Caenorhabditis elegans: one gene and its partner. Changing the gene in region 1 together with any one later gene gives a genetic interaction. Each region holds a gene or a part of one and is shown in the gene's direction. Other genes may lie near its edges.

What was found. A genetic interaction does not mean that the proteins touch.
Region 2: of cnnm-1 (region 1) and cup-5, changing one suppresses a phenotype caused by changing the other (phenotypic suppression), as found in Caenorhabditis elegans (one study listed by BioGRID).

The regions. Positions count from the first base shown.
Region 1 is NC_003282.8:17,203,544-17,209,953, reverse strand, and holds the start of cnnm-1 (Metal transporter cnnm-1), read left to right. Parts: upstream 1-3,108; 5' UTR 3,109-3,148; coding exon 3,149-3,307; intron 3,308-3,317; exon of another isoform or gene 3,318-3,338; intron 3,339-3,676; exon of another isoform or gene 3,677-3,697; intron 3,698-3,734; exon of another isoform or gene 3,735-3,755; intron 3,756-3,946; exon of another isoform or gene 3,947-3,967; intron 3,968-3,989; exon of another isoform or gene 3,990-4,010; intron 4,011-4,037; exon of another isoform or gene 4,038-4,058; intron 4,059-4,206; exon of another isoform or gene 4,207-4,227; intron 4,228-4,360; coding exon 4,361-4,461; intron 4,462-4,848; exon of another isoform or gene 4,849-4,869; intron 4,870-4,873; exon of another isoform or gene 4,874-4,894; intron 4,895-5,136; coding exon 5,137-5,416; intron 5,417-5,541; exon of another isoform or gene 5,542-5,562; intron 5,563-5,602; exon of another isoform or gene 5,603-5,623; intron 5,624-5,903; exon of another isoform or gene 5,904-5,924; intron 5,925-5,949; coding exon 5,950-6,341; intron 6,342-6,410. UniProt on the Caenorhabditis elegans protein: Probable metal transporter. Probably acts redundantly with the other metal transport proteins cnnm-2, cnnm-3, cnnm-4 and cnnm-5 to regulate Mg(2+) homeostasis. Promotes postembryonic gonad development by regulating Mg(2+) levels, probably via AMPK signaling.
Region 2 is NC_003281.10:7,581,179-7,587,588, forward strand, and holds the start of cup-5 (Polycystin cation channel PKD1/PKD2 domain-containing protein), read left to right. Parts: upstream 1-3,504; 5' UTR 3,505-3,510; coding exon 3,511-3,963; intron 3,964-4,012; coding exon 4,013-4,196; intron 4,197-4,240; coding exon 4,241-4,552; intron 4,553-4,918; coding exon 4,919-5,202; intron 5,203-5,281; coding exon of another isoform or gene 5,282-5,311; intron 5,312-5,483; coding exon 5,484-5,591; exon of another isoform or gene 5,592-5,611; coding exon of another isoform or gene 5,612-5,818; intron 5,819-5,871; coding exon of another isoform or gene 5,872-5,964; intron 5,965-6,008; coding exon of another isoform or gene 6,009-6,143; intron 6,144-6,190; coding exon of another isoform or gene 6,191-6,352; intron 6,353-6,398; coding exon of another isoform or gene 6,399-6,410. Other genes in the region: gda-2 (CMP/dCMP-type deaminase domain-containing protein), read right to left, coding at 934-1,205, 1,612-1,801; R13A5.15 (Serpentine receptor class gamma), read right to left, coding at 5,612-5,818, 5,872-5,964, 6,009-6,143, 6,191-6,352, 6,399-6,410.

The DNA.
Region 1 (6,410 bases):
TAAAACTTGACCAATTCTATGGAAGCTATGTGTTGATGCACTTGTCAATTTTGTTTAAGTCTAACTTTGGGTGTATTATGAATTCTCAATTCCACAGGTTCAACCAAAACTATTCATTTGTAACTCTTATTTTTCGTTTCCTTTGTTTTTTCATCCTCTTTTACAGTAATTTCTAAAATTTCCTGTTTCAACGACAACATGAAGAAAAGAGTTCAAAACTTAAATATTCAGCCGAGCCGTTTTTGATGTGCCAACATCAATGTAAACCTACTATTTATTAAAAAAGAAAGATCATTTCACAGAATATAAATGCCTGCTTTAGAAATCTCTCTTTCGAAACTATTATTTTTCTCAATAAATCGTTGACCACTGACCTCAAAGATGCTTCCCCCATTTTCTCCCCCCATCGTGTCAATTCCAATCTTAATATCTTTCTCATCCTGCGTCTCCCCTCTCTCGTCTTCTTTTTTGCCATTCTCAAGCGTAATACGTTCGGTAATATGATACGACAAGGACTTTCTCCATTTACTTTTTTTTTGGATTTTTTCATAAGTTTCAATGTTTTTTATATTTATTTTTTAGCCCAACGTTATACCCTTTTTCAATGTTTTTTATCAGATTAGAGGTCTTGATTAGCAATGTAAGTCGATAATTAAAAGATTAGGAAAAATATGAACCTGAAATTGCATTTGCGGGCGGTGCAAAGCGTTTTCCAGTTTCTTATTTCCTGTTTCAACGACAACATGAAGAAAAGAGTTCAAAACTTAAATATTCAGTCGAGCCGTTTTTAATGTGCCAACATCAATGTATTGATCAATTTGAATTTAAAAGTTAAAAAAATGTAGAAGAAGTGAAACAATTTTTGATTATTTCAACAAAAAAACACACATTTTTTCGAGTTTTCAAAATTATAATGCTAAAAGAAAATTGGAAACAATTCGTTATGGTTTCAAAACTTAGAAAATGTTTTTTACAACTTTATTAACATTTAAAATTTTTTGTTTCTTTTGGAGTTTATGCAATTCTAAAATAAGAAATGATTACATAATTATATATTTTAATTTTTTAAATAAAAAAATATGAAACAGTAAAATTTTGTGAAATTTTTTTTTTAATATTTACATCATTTTCACTAAGAAATCCGTGTCTTATGAACCAGTAACCCCCGGAAATTTGCTTCACTGGTTATTGCTGAAATGTTTGAAATATTTATTTTATTTTGGAAGAAAAACTGTTTTGATTTTACTTTTTCAGCTTCACGCAAACACTGTGATTTTTTTTGAACATTTTTTTGAAAGAAAAAAGTTCTAAATTTTGATTTTGAAAAAAAAAACGCTTTTTTCAAACTGTAGTGTTCCCACAACAAGGCAGACACAAAAATGTTTTTCTTCTCTGTTTCACAAATTCTACAATAACTAATACTTCTTGGATTTGGGCGCATCTTTCTGATCCGTCAAAATAGTAATTTGGTCTGGGAGAACATTTTTTGAACGTTTTTCTTTAAAAACAATTTTGTGTATTTCTAAACATTTTTTAAAAATATTTTCTAAATAAAAAAAAAATTACACGTCGATTTCAACGTTGTAAACAAAGTCAAAACAGTTAAATATTGGTACAAAATCATTGAAATGTTGGCTTGAAGTTGCTTTAATACTCTGAAAACACTGTTTTTGCTAAAAAAAAAATAACTTCAGTGTAATTATATACATTCTTGATTGATTGAAGCTATAAATTTTTTTTTAATTTACAAATTGTTCAATAAAACTTTTTTTCCCTTTTCAACATAGTTTCAAAAAAAGTTTCAAAAATTGACCGGTCAATAGGTAATCTCCCTCATATATAGGCTCCCTCCTTGTTTGACCAGCACAAAGAACTCGGAATTCATCATATTTACAATCATTTAATAATAAGTCATGCGGCGGAGGCGGCAGAAAGTACACCCTATGTGAGTGTGTAAGTCAAAATGTGTATAGAAAATTGAATTTCTATGTTAAACCATTATTTAGTTTTTATTTTTTAAATCATATTCCGCGTTAGAATATGAAACAAATAATTAGGTAAATGTTATTTCTCGATGAACATTTTTTTTGATTTATCCACTTGTGAAACAAACTGTGTGAAACAATTTTTCAAAGTTATAAAAATACTGTTTCAAAACTGAGTTAGTTATAAAACATATGCAGTTTCACTACTATTTTGATTGAAAAATTTCAATATGGAGCCGTTTGAATATTATTCAACAATAATCTGTATTTTAAAAAATAAATATTTATTTTTCAAAATTAAAAAATGAAAACTCTGTTTCACATGTAGTTTCTTTTTTGGAAATTATATTACAGTTATTACAGTTAGAGAAGCATTAACATTTATTCAATGACTTCCGCTTCAAAAACAGTGACTGAAACAGTAGTTTTTGAAGTTAAAAATTAAAATTTTTCAAATTAGTTTTTTTGCTGAAAAACTTCACAACTATCTAATTTTTGGGTAGACATAATTTTTTATGCAACAGTGCATTTTTTCCTTTATATCATACGTTCCATTTTTTGAATATTTTTTCGTATGTTTCAAATTTCTGTTATCCGGATATATCCATAAACGTTTTTTATGAGGGCTTTTCAATGTAAAAGTCAAATAATGTCAAATGTAAAATTTTAAATTACTCAATTTAACTTTCGAATCCTCTTCCTCAAAATAAAAGAAAATAAAAAAAAATCGTAAAATTTGAGCAAAAAATTATGCTGTTTCAAGTTTAGTTTTTTTACTGAAAATAAAAAATTGCCTGACTTCCATCATATTTTTAGAGAGTATCATTTCTCCTATTCGCAGGTCATTGAAAATGTTCAAAAACTCCCAGTAACTAATGGAAGTGGCAGAGAAAATAGAAAAACTCGGCTACCAAATTGTGTTTCTCGGCCATGTGAAAAATTTAGTATATTTTCATCAACTCCATAGCCCCCTGCAGGAAAAATTTTGTACAGGGGCCCCTGTACAAAATTTTCGTGGTCACCAATTTTTTCGCGGCTACTTTTTATATTCTGTTTCAATGACTCTTCATATTCTCTCTCTCAATCTTCAAACCTTAATCTTTTGAATTTTCGTAATTTTCAGATTATCCCCCAACTCACCGCCTTATACGAGTCACCAGTGAATGTCTGCGTCATGTCTGCGTCTCCTCACTCTCTCGCTCTTCATATTAGGTCAATGCAACGTGACAGCTGCTCAGAATGGAGTCGACGATGAGGTGACCACGGTGACGGCGATATTGGATTCGGCGACAACGGCTGCTGCGGACAATTCTACAGTTCCGGTGAGTTTTTTCGGTGGAATAAGGACAATAAACAAAAGTTTGGTTTTTACTGGAACTTAAATTTTTTCTGAAACAGTGAATGTTTTTTATTTATTTTAAATCTGTTACAAGTTGGGTGATTCATTAATAAGTAATGTTTTTTGCGAAAAAAACACAAACAAAAATATAAGTCCTACCTTCATGCCTCAATGAGACCGCCATTAGGCGGCTGGTAGGTGCTGGACCTACCATGTCAGCAATGCACCTACTAACGCTGTCTGAATTAAAATATGAGATTTAGTTTAAAAAATTAACATATTTGTCTTGTAAACACAGTAACAGACAATTAAAATTTTCTTGAAAAATGTAATAGATTCAATCAAAATGGAAAACCAAATTTTACGGTTTCGAACATTGTTTTAACTAATCTTGAGCTCATATAAATTGTTGAAACAGTGGATTTTTGGGCCACCGAAAATTTCACATTCCAAATTTTCATTTAAAAAATCGACATCCTAAATTGTCTGGAACAAATTGGATTTCCGAGACAAACAAACTTTTCACAGTGTCTTCTTTCCTGAAATCGAAAAATAAACTGCTATAAAAATTATTTACCGTTTCCAACAGCCTAGAACAAAACAACAGTTAATTGTCCAGCAATTCCATTACCGTTGAATGCATTGTTTTTAGTTGTATATAATAAAACTTTTCTACAGCTATTTTATCAATGCAACTTTTTAATGTTCACTAATAAGCAATTGTGGAAGCAGTGTATTTTTTAAAATTAAAATCAAAAATTGGTTGCGCATTGGAGTCTCAAATAACCGAATAAAATGATAAATCATTCCGAAAGTTTTGATTTCTCAAAATTTTCAGTCAACATTTTGGTAATTTACCAAAATTTTGGACTTTTACAATAATTTTGGCCCCTAAATCTTTTAACTAAATAAACGCTATATGTTGGCTCAAAAAATTAGTTGAAACAGTGGATTTTTTTGGTTAAAAATTTCGAAACTGACGACTGCCAAAAAACTGTTATTCGAGTTTCTGCAATTCTTGACTTTCAATTTTCAGACCCAATCAGCGAGCAACAACAACACAAGTCAGAGCTCGAAAATTCCAACGATTTTTGGAATGAGAGTCGAACTTCCAGCTGACGATCCGTTTGGTTATGAGTGAGTTTTTAAAACAATCTTGCCAGGTGGCCGTGAAAGATTTTTAATAAAAAATAATTTATCATAAAACAGATAGCTTGGTTATTGTTCTGTTTGCGTAGAAAGTTGTTGTACAGAACAGTAATTCTGTTATTCATTTGTACATCTTGTTAATTCCTGTAATCTTACGAAAAACTAGTTATTTTCGAATTTTTTTTCTGTGTCAAAAATTTTTTTTTCTTAAATTGTTTTGGGCAAATGTTTGTTAAATCCATTCAAATTGAGATAATCAACTGTTAAACTGTACCCGGGACACAAATAGAAACAATAATCGGACGTTGATCAAGAAAACAGTTTGAAACTATTTTGAGTTGAGCTGAATTTTTTCTTATTTCAAATTTGACTGAAAAGCTCCTAGTTTGTATGCGAACATTTCATGCGCAACTCTTCATGATAATTAAGGATGTTTGGTACTGTCAAATTTTTAGAAAAAAATTATTTCAACATTAACAACCGTTGCAGAGTATTTCATCTTTTCTGACCATGTAAAAATGGTCTCAAAAAATTCAAAGTTCTCCTCTCCCGCAAATTTTATCAAAGGGTCCAATTTTTTCAAACCAATGTATTTTTTTGTTTCGTGGCGGGACCCAAAAATCTAAGGAAATTTCATGGTTTTATAAAACTAAAATTTTTGAGCAAACACGGCGTCTGTTCAGTAACTCCAGAAGAAGAGTTCAAAGTGGTAATCTATGGAAATCATTTGGACAAAATCCACCAAATCATCTGGACATTTACGAATAACTGCTCGGAGCCAGCCTACGTCATCGACGCGCTGAACCATTTCAAAGTGCACTTCAACCATAAAGCCACGTTTCATTTGACTTTGAAGCTTCTTCCAGAAATGGTTCATGCCTATAAAATGTGTGTGAAACCGAAGGTTGCACCAGGATCACCGCCGCTCGGGGAAATTTATCCGGTTCGTTGTAGTTCATGTTTTGAAAATAAGTTTTGACTGGAAATTTGAACTTCGCGCTAAATTTTTGGCATAATTTATTACTGTTTCATATTTTGCATAAAATTTGTGAACGTTATATACGGGACTTGGAGACGGATCCTATTGTTACACTTTTGCAAATTTTGCAGGCTGACAAAAAGTAGCAGTTTTCCAAATGAACTTTTCAAATCAATGTTTACAAAATCTGCTTAATTATGTAATTGTAGTGAAACGAAAATTTTTTAAATCAGCAATTTGATTAGTTTTCCAGTTTCTTAAATGGTTATTTTAAAACTGTGGAAATTGTTCAAATCACTTGAAGATTTCCGAACGTAACAACATACAAATTTTCAATCAACTTTCAAGGTTTAAAAATCGATTACAACAAAAATTGGAAAACAGAAAACGCCTCAAAATGTCTACTGTTTCAAGTTCTCCACATAAACTTCAAAACGATAATTTACAGCGCTCTGCAAATCACACTATCTGAAATAAAAAAAAATCCAAATTTCCAGCTCGACGACATCTCCACGTGGCTCACCACAGAACGTCCACCGAAAGAATATTTCCTTCCACTTCCACTTCAAATTGCATGCATTGGATTCCTTCTCTGTCTATCTGCACTTTTCTCAGGATTGACATTGGGCTTAATGTCCCTGACACCCCAAGAACTGGAGCTTGTCATTAAATCTGGAGCCATAAAAGAACAAAAGTGTGCAGCAAAGATCTTGCCGGTCCGAAAGAAAGGAAACCTTTTGCTATGCTCACTTTTACTGGGAAATGTCATTGTAAACTCGGCGATTTCTATTTTAATGGGTGAATTGACGACTGGAATCTATGCACTTATTGGTTCAACTATGGGAATTGTCATTTTCGGAGAGATTTTGCCACAGAGTATTTGTGTCAAGTTAGTTAACTTTTTTCTAAAAGTTTTTTTTCAGAAAATTTTTGAAACAGTGAGAAATTTAAATGCATT
Region 2 (6,410 bases), on another chromosome or scaffold:
CGAGCTTTGGAATTTATGAAATTCGATTTACGGATTGCCTTTTTTCAGTTTCAATTAAATAGTTTAACGCTTAACTAAAAACGGAACCAAATTTTTGTGTAAGAACTAGACAAGCAGGCAGTAAAATTGGAACCAAATAAAATGGTAACCCATAGGTCAAAGCAATCATGATTAATCTGACATTTTGGTATAATAATCCAGACATCGTCATCATCACCAATTCATTCAATGCTCGTTGATGTTTAAATGCAAGAAGACCCAACACTTCACTTGTCACAATTCAAACAAAAACACGAGGAAATAGAGATGATGACTTGGGTGACGGGTCCGAGACCAAAACATAAATTGTGATCAGGGTATTTGAGAATATGTTCCCGATGTGAACCCTGAAAACAAAATAAAAAAGGTATATGATCCATCGTATCCACTAGAAAAACGCGGCAAAGAAAAATAACTTTTGCTTAAATTGAAGAAAAGTTTAAAAAAGAGTTGAGCAATGCGGTGCAACAATAATGGAAGAAAAGTGCTCTACAAAATTTTCTGAAAACATTATTTTCTTACGATTTAAAATTATCTATTCGAACTCATGCTTTCCAAATTTGAAATACCGTATTTACTCTATTAGTCTTATATGCAAGATGTTATGGGACATTGCAAACTTTTTCCAAGATTCTGTTTTTATTTGAAAGGCCTAGTAAAAGTAACTAGATATTTACATTTTTGTATAAATTTTAGTTTTTGATAAGCAAATTACAAGTCAATTAAAACCTTCAAATACAAACGTCATCTACATTCTCCCAACCTTCGTCTTTTTTCCTGTAATCAATTATTCATATTTGCTGCTCCCATATGCTCACACTCCTATACGTTTATTTATAATGCATTACTTTTTTGCAACCAACAAATGACAAAAACCAGAGAATTTGTTTATATTTAATAAAGTTCTTTGTTATCCTTCTTTGACCAAAGTTGGAATGGCTCTAAGTAGTTGTCCACCTTGAATTGTTCCAACTTTCGTTTATCATCCGATTTTGGGTTTTGAAGGAACTCATGGAACTCATGATCTCCAAATCCGATATTCGCGGCGTCTTGTGACGTGGCACCGTAGTAAATTGCATCGACACGAGACCAGAGAGCAGCTCCCATACACATTGGACATGGATAGCAGGAAGTGTAGAGTTGACAACCGGATAGATCAAAGTTGTCTGGATAAATAATAGATATATGGCCAATTTGAATATAATTATATAACAGTAGATAGGATAAATAGGGAAAATAAATTAAGACGCTTCTGATCTTTTAGCAGATCTCAAATTCTCACAAAACCCCTAATAATTAGTATTTCAGTAAAGGCTTGCATGGAATCCAGGAAGTAACTTCTTACCTAAATTAAATTAAAAAGTACAGTGAACCAAATTATAGGCAATCAAAAAAGTCAAAAACCAAACACTGAAGATCAAAGCAGTAAGTGATGTCCAAACAGTGATATCTTGTAAGGAATTTACTAAATAAAAAACAATTGTAAAAAATTATAAATTATTTTCGAAATTTTGGATTCAAGAAACTAATTTTGTTTCCTTTACTAAAGTTAAAAACGAAAGGAATACTTACCGACATTCTTACAAGTATTTCTGATGGCTGTAACTTCGGCGTGTGCTGTTGGATCCTTGGTGACTAAAACCATGTTATGCCCACTACCGATTACCTTCCCATCCTTGACAATTACAGCTCCAAATGGTCCACCGTCTCCCTTCTCCATTCCTTTCTTGGCTTCTTCGATTGCGAGTTTCATGAATTCCATTTTTCTGAATTTTCAAGAAATGTTTCGATTAACCGAGTTTTTTCACGGATGAAAAATTTATTAGAAACAAAAATAAATAAAAAAATATCAAAACTACAAATGAATGAATATGTTGTAAAAACTATAGTTGCCAAAAACTTTCACTTTAACAAAAATTTGACATCGAGAGAGTACGCCAGAGATGAAGAAAAAGAAGGCGTGGGAAAAGAACAAAAAAGGAAAAGAGCGATCGGAAGCCAGTCAACCAAACAAAAAATGATGATGAACTGAATATTGTGGAGGTGTTTTCGATAGTTGCAGACATGGAAACGTATTAGATTTTAAAAATTTGTGTGTGGCAAGAGGAATTTTGATATCGAAGTTCAATAAATAGAAATTCAGAATTTAATATTTTATTGAAATCACAGGAAATTTAAAAATTGCAGAGACTTTTTTCGATATTTGGGGTACGACCAAAAAAAAAGAACAAAAATTGAAGTAGTTGTCAAACGTTGCCTTCTGTAAACTTTCAAAAACGGTACCTACTGTCTCACTGCGCCTTCAAAAAACGACAGTAATCCATTGCCCGTTTGTTAGTTGTGCTCTTCCTTTTCTCACTATTTGTATCTAAAAAGAAACAGATAAAATTATACGACAGAATATGAATATGACTAAAAATTCAAAGAAAAATTTCAATGGTTTACTGTGGTTGTTAAAGGTGCATACCTTTTTTGCGGCGGCTACGATTTGAAAATGTTCGCGCTGTGAACCAGCCCGAAATTTTTGTAATAAATTGAAATCTTTCGCAACTGGGTAATAACTCAAACTTTTTTAACTACAACTTTATAACCTGCAATTTCACTTTTAAAATGTGCGTCATTCTATGCAAATTTCTGAATTTATAATTCTCTCCGAGTTTATCCATATTAACGTCATTGCAAAATACTATGTACATGTGCCCTCAAAAAATTTTCCAATTTCTCTTTACTGAAAGTACTACGCTTTTTATTTTCTTTGTGTGCACCTTTCAAAAGTCATGCTCAATTTTGTATAGATTCCAACCGCTATTTATCTACGGAAGGAAAAAAAAACCCAACACAGAAAAAAACAAATTGACGTGTCTCTAGCTTCCCTGCGCTTCTCTCTCTCAAATGCTCTTTTATCTATCCCATGTTCGCCATTTACATCGGCTCTAAATAACACCTCTAAGCTTTCTTGAAAGATGAGTAGAATATTCAGAAGCCAAGCTTCGAGATCGATGCGGTTAGAGCAAATTCCCCTCGAATCGGTGAGATAATAAATGTATTGTTTTAAGGGTTGAAAACTGCAAAATTGCATGTTTGCATGGTCTTAACCAATTTTTGATTGACTGATAACGATAATTTCTGATAATTTTGGACTTTAGGTGAGTATTTCTTTTTAGTTCTTCGTTTTTTAAAGAGAAAATAAATACCATAAGATTGACCGGCGTCAGATATTGTGCATGGTACGCAAAGACACCGCGCGGTGTACCTCACTAGTAGGATTTACGCGGGCGTTGGTCTCGGAAAATTATTTTTTAATTGTTCAAACAATTATTTGTTTTTGTTTTTTATAAATAGCATGTTAATCATAAAAATATATATTTTTTAAAAATTAGAATTCATATTTTGTACGCTTATATTAACCGCCACTCGCATCGAAATCAATTTTTCATTAATACAACGTTATTTAATATTTCATGATTTCAGATGTCTCGCCGGAGCACAACTGATCGTTCAGACTTCAACGATAATGCTTCGAATGCTTCTTCAAATGCTTCTCGAAGGCCAACAATAAATTTTCAAGAAATAATGGAAGATCTTCCGCACCACGAAAGAGAAACCGGCGAACGTCTTCGCCGTCATCTCCAATTCTTTTTTATGAATCCAATGGAGAAATGGAAAGTCAGACATCAACTGCCCTATAAGTTGGTTCTACAAGTGCTCAAAATAGTTTTCGTTACCATGCAATTAATTTTATTCGCGGAAATGCGCATGTCTCATGTTGATTTTCTCGAAGACACCACAACAGTTATGAGACATCGATTTTTAAAAGAATGGAATGACGACAGAGATGCATTACAATATCCACCAGCTGAAGGAAGATATTCGGTTTATGATGATCAAGGATTATCCGAGCATTTGAGCTTTTTGATTAATTCTGTAAGTCGCTTTGGAGAACTATCTTGTAAAATGATCAATATTGTTTCAGTATTATTCAATTCGCAATGATTCATTTGCTTCATTTTCCTATGACGTTGTAAGTCATCCATCTGGAAATCTTGGCGCTCAAATTAGTTTTGAATCTATTCCACCTATTGAAGTTCTTATCGATCGAATTTCCAACGTAACAGTGAACAATAACACTTATAATTTCGACATTCGTGAAGTGAAAGGTATATAAACATACTATTATGAAATAAAAATAGTTTATTTCTAGACACGAAACGTCTGAATCTAACAGAAACGGAAGTCTTCCAAATCGGACAATCCGATGATGCTGTTCGAGATATTCTCGCCACTCGTGGAATCACATTTCTCCCAGAAGACGCGCTCAAGATATCGACGGTCCAATTCAAATTTCGACTACGAACAATTCATTATTCACCAACAGCCGGAGATCAGAAACCAGAATGCTATAAGATATCAGTTTCTATCAAATTTGATAATTCAAGGCATACAGGACAGGTTCATGTCACTCTATCAACTGTGGTTTCTTATGTGAATGTTTGTAATGGAAGGATCATCAAAGGTGAACACTTCACTTTTTTCAAATTTTCAAAGTAAAGCTAGTAAAAATTATAGATTATGTAATCGAAAATTACCCAATTAACATAGAATTCCAATAATTAATGGTGAAGAATCATCAAATGGGATGCTATTAAATATAACTTCAAATCTTTTATAAAAGTCTTTCTGAAACTTCGTGTTAAAATCTACATAACTTTATTTGCCTAAAAAAGTTCTTCTTGAGAGTAACATTTAGATTTTAGGTATTCAAAAATTTCCCAATTAACTTGAAATATTTAACTTCTAGGTGTACTTCTGTGTTTAAATAAAAATGAATTTTGTAATATTAAAATATCAAAATATAAAAATTCAATCAATCTCGAGTTAGGTCAAGTTTCAGGTGTTGGATGGTCATTTGACACACTTTTAATCGGCGGAACCGATATTTTCGTTCTCATTCTTTGCATTCTATCACTGATTCTCTGCTGCCGAGCCCTCATCAAAGCCCATCTACTTCAAATCAAAACAAGCGACTATTTTGAGAATGTACTCAAAAATAAGATCACCGTTACCGATCAACTCGATTTTCTGAATTTGTGGTATGTGATGATTGTGGTCAACGATGCGCTTATTATCATTGGAACTGTTGCAAAAATATCCATCGAGTTTCAGGTAATTTTTATAAAAATTTAAGTTTAATTCAAATGAAAAATTCCCTCCAATACTCAAACATAAAATATATTAAATTTAGTTCAACAAAAATACTTTTACTACAAGAAATGTGAGTAAAAATTTATATTTCCAATAACTTCCTTTCTGTATCTGTCCGTCCCATTGTTTCCATCAACTTTTCATCCCGGGATTTATCGAAACCAAATTGCCCCTCTGTATTGATTAGAAAATTATTTTCCATTAATTCTTGCATAAAACTAAGATTATTGCTTTCTTTTCAGGATTTCGACAATTCCCTCTTCACGCTAACTTCGATTTTCCTCGGAATGGGAGCTTTGCTGGTATATGTCGGAGTTCTTCGATATTTTGGATTTTTCAGTCAATATAATGTGAGTTGTTTCAAATTGCTTTATTTCATTACAACAACATTTGATCGTGTTGGAATACCAACTCCGGATATGGAATTACTTGTTATTGTAGTCTTATGCGAGTGTACTGTAGTGTAATACATTATCCAAGGTGGGCAACATATGGAAATATCCAGTGCGAATGCACGTAGATCTTGACATGTTTCACGAATGAATGACGAAGTACCAGTGTAGATCATTATCAGAGCCTATAAAAAATTTTTAAAAAAGTAAATACTCCAATAATTCATTATTTCCTTACCTGTAATAAAGCCTGCAGTACCAGTGAAAAACATACCACTAACGCTATAGAAAACATTGCAATTTCTACTCGTCGTGTTCTTTTTCGATGAAACTTAAAATTGATTATGCTTCTAATATAATATTATTCAAACTAACTTCGTTCTGAGTACCACTAGCCGTTTTTACTGTTTGAATTGTCGTTTTGTACTTAACAATTGTTGTGAAATTCGCTGCAACACATATTACGGCGAGAAGAATCGACACAAAACACAGCGCCGTACTGTTTCTAGGCTGTAATTTTATTGATTTTCATATTTTGTGTTTGGTGGAAACCATACCAAAAATCCTATCAACAGTTTCACTCTGTATACCATTTGATAATTGGATCGATTTTCGTATAGTGGTAAGAAATAAGCGTCATAGGTGACTAAGTGCCATGTAGTAATTAATGGAAGAATGTAGACAAGTGCGATTGCACTGCGGACGTTCTTTTGCCAAAACTTTAATTTTTTAGGAGATTCATATTTTTCGGATGGGAAGGCTCACCGAATTACAGTA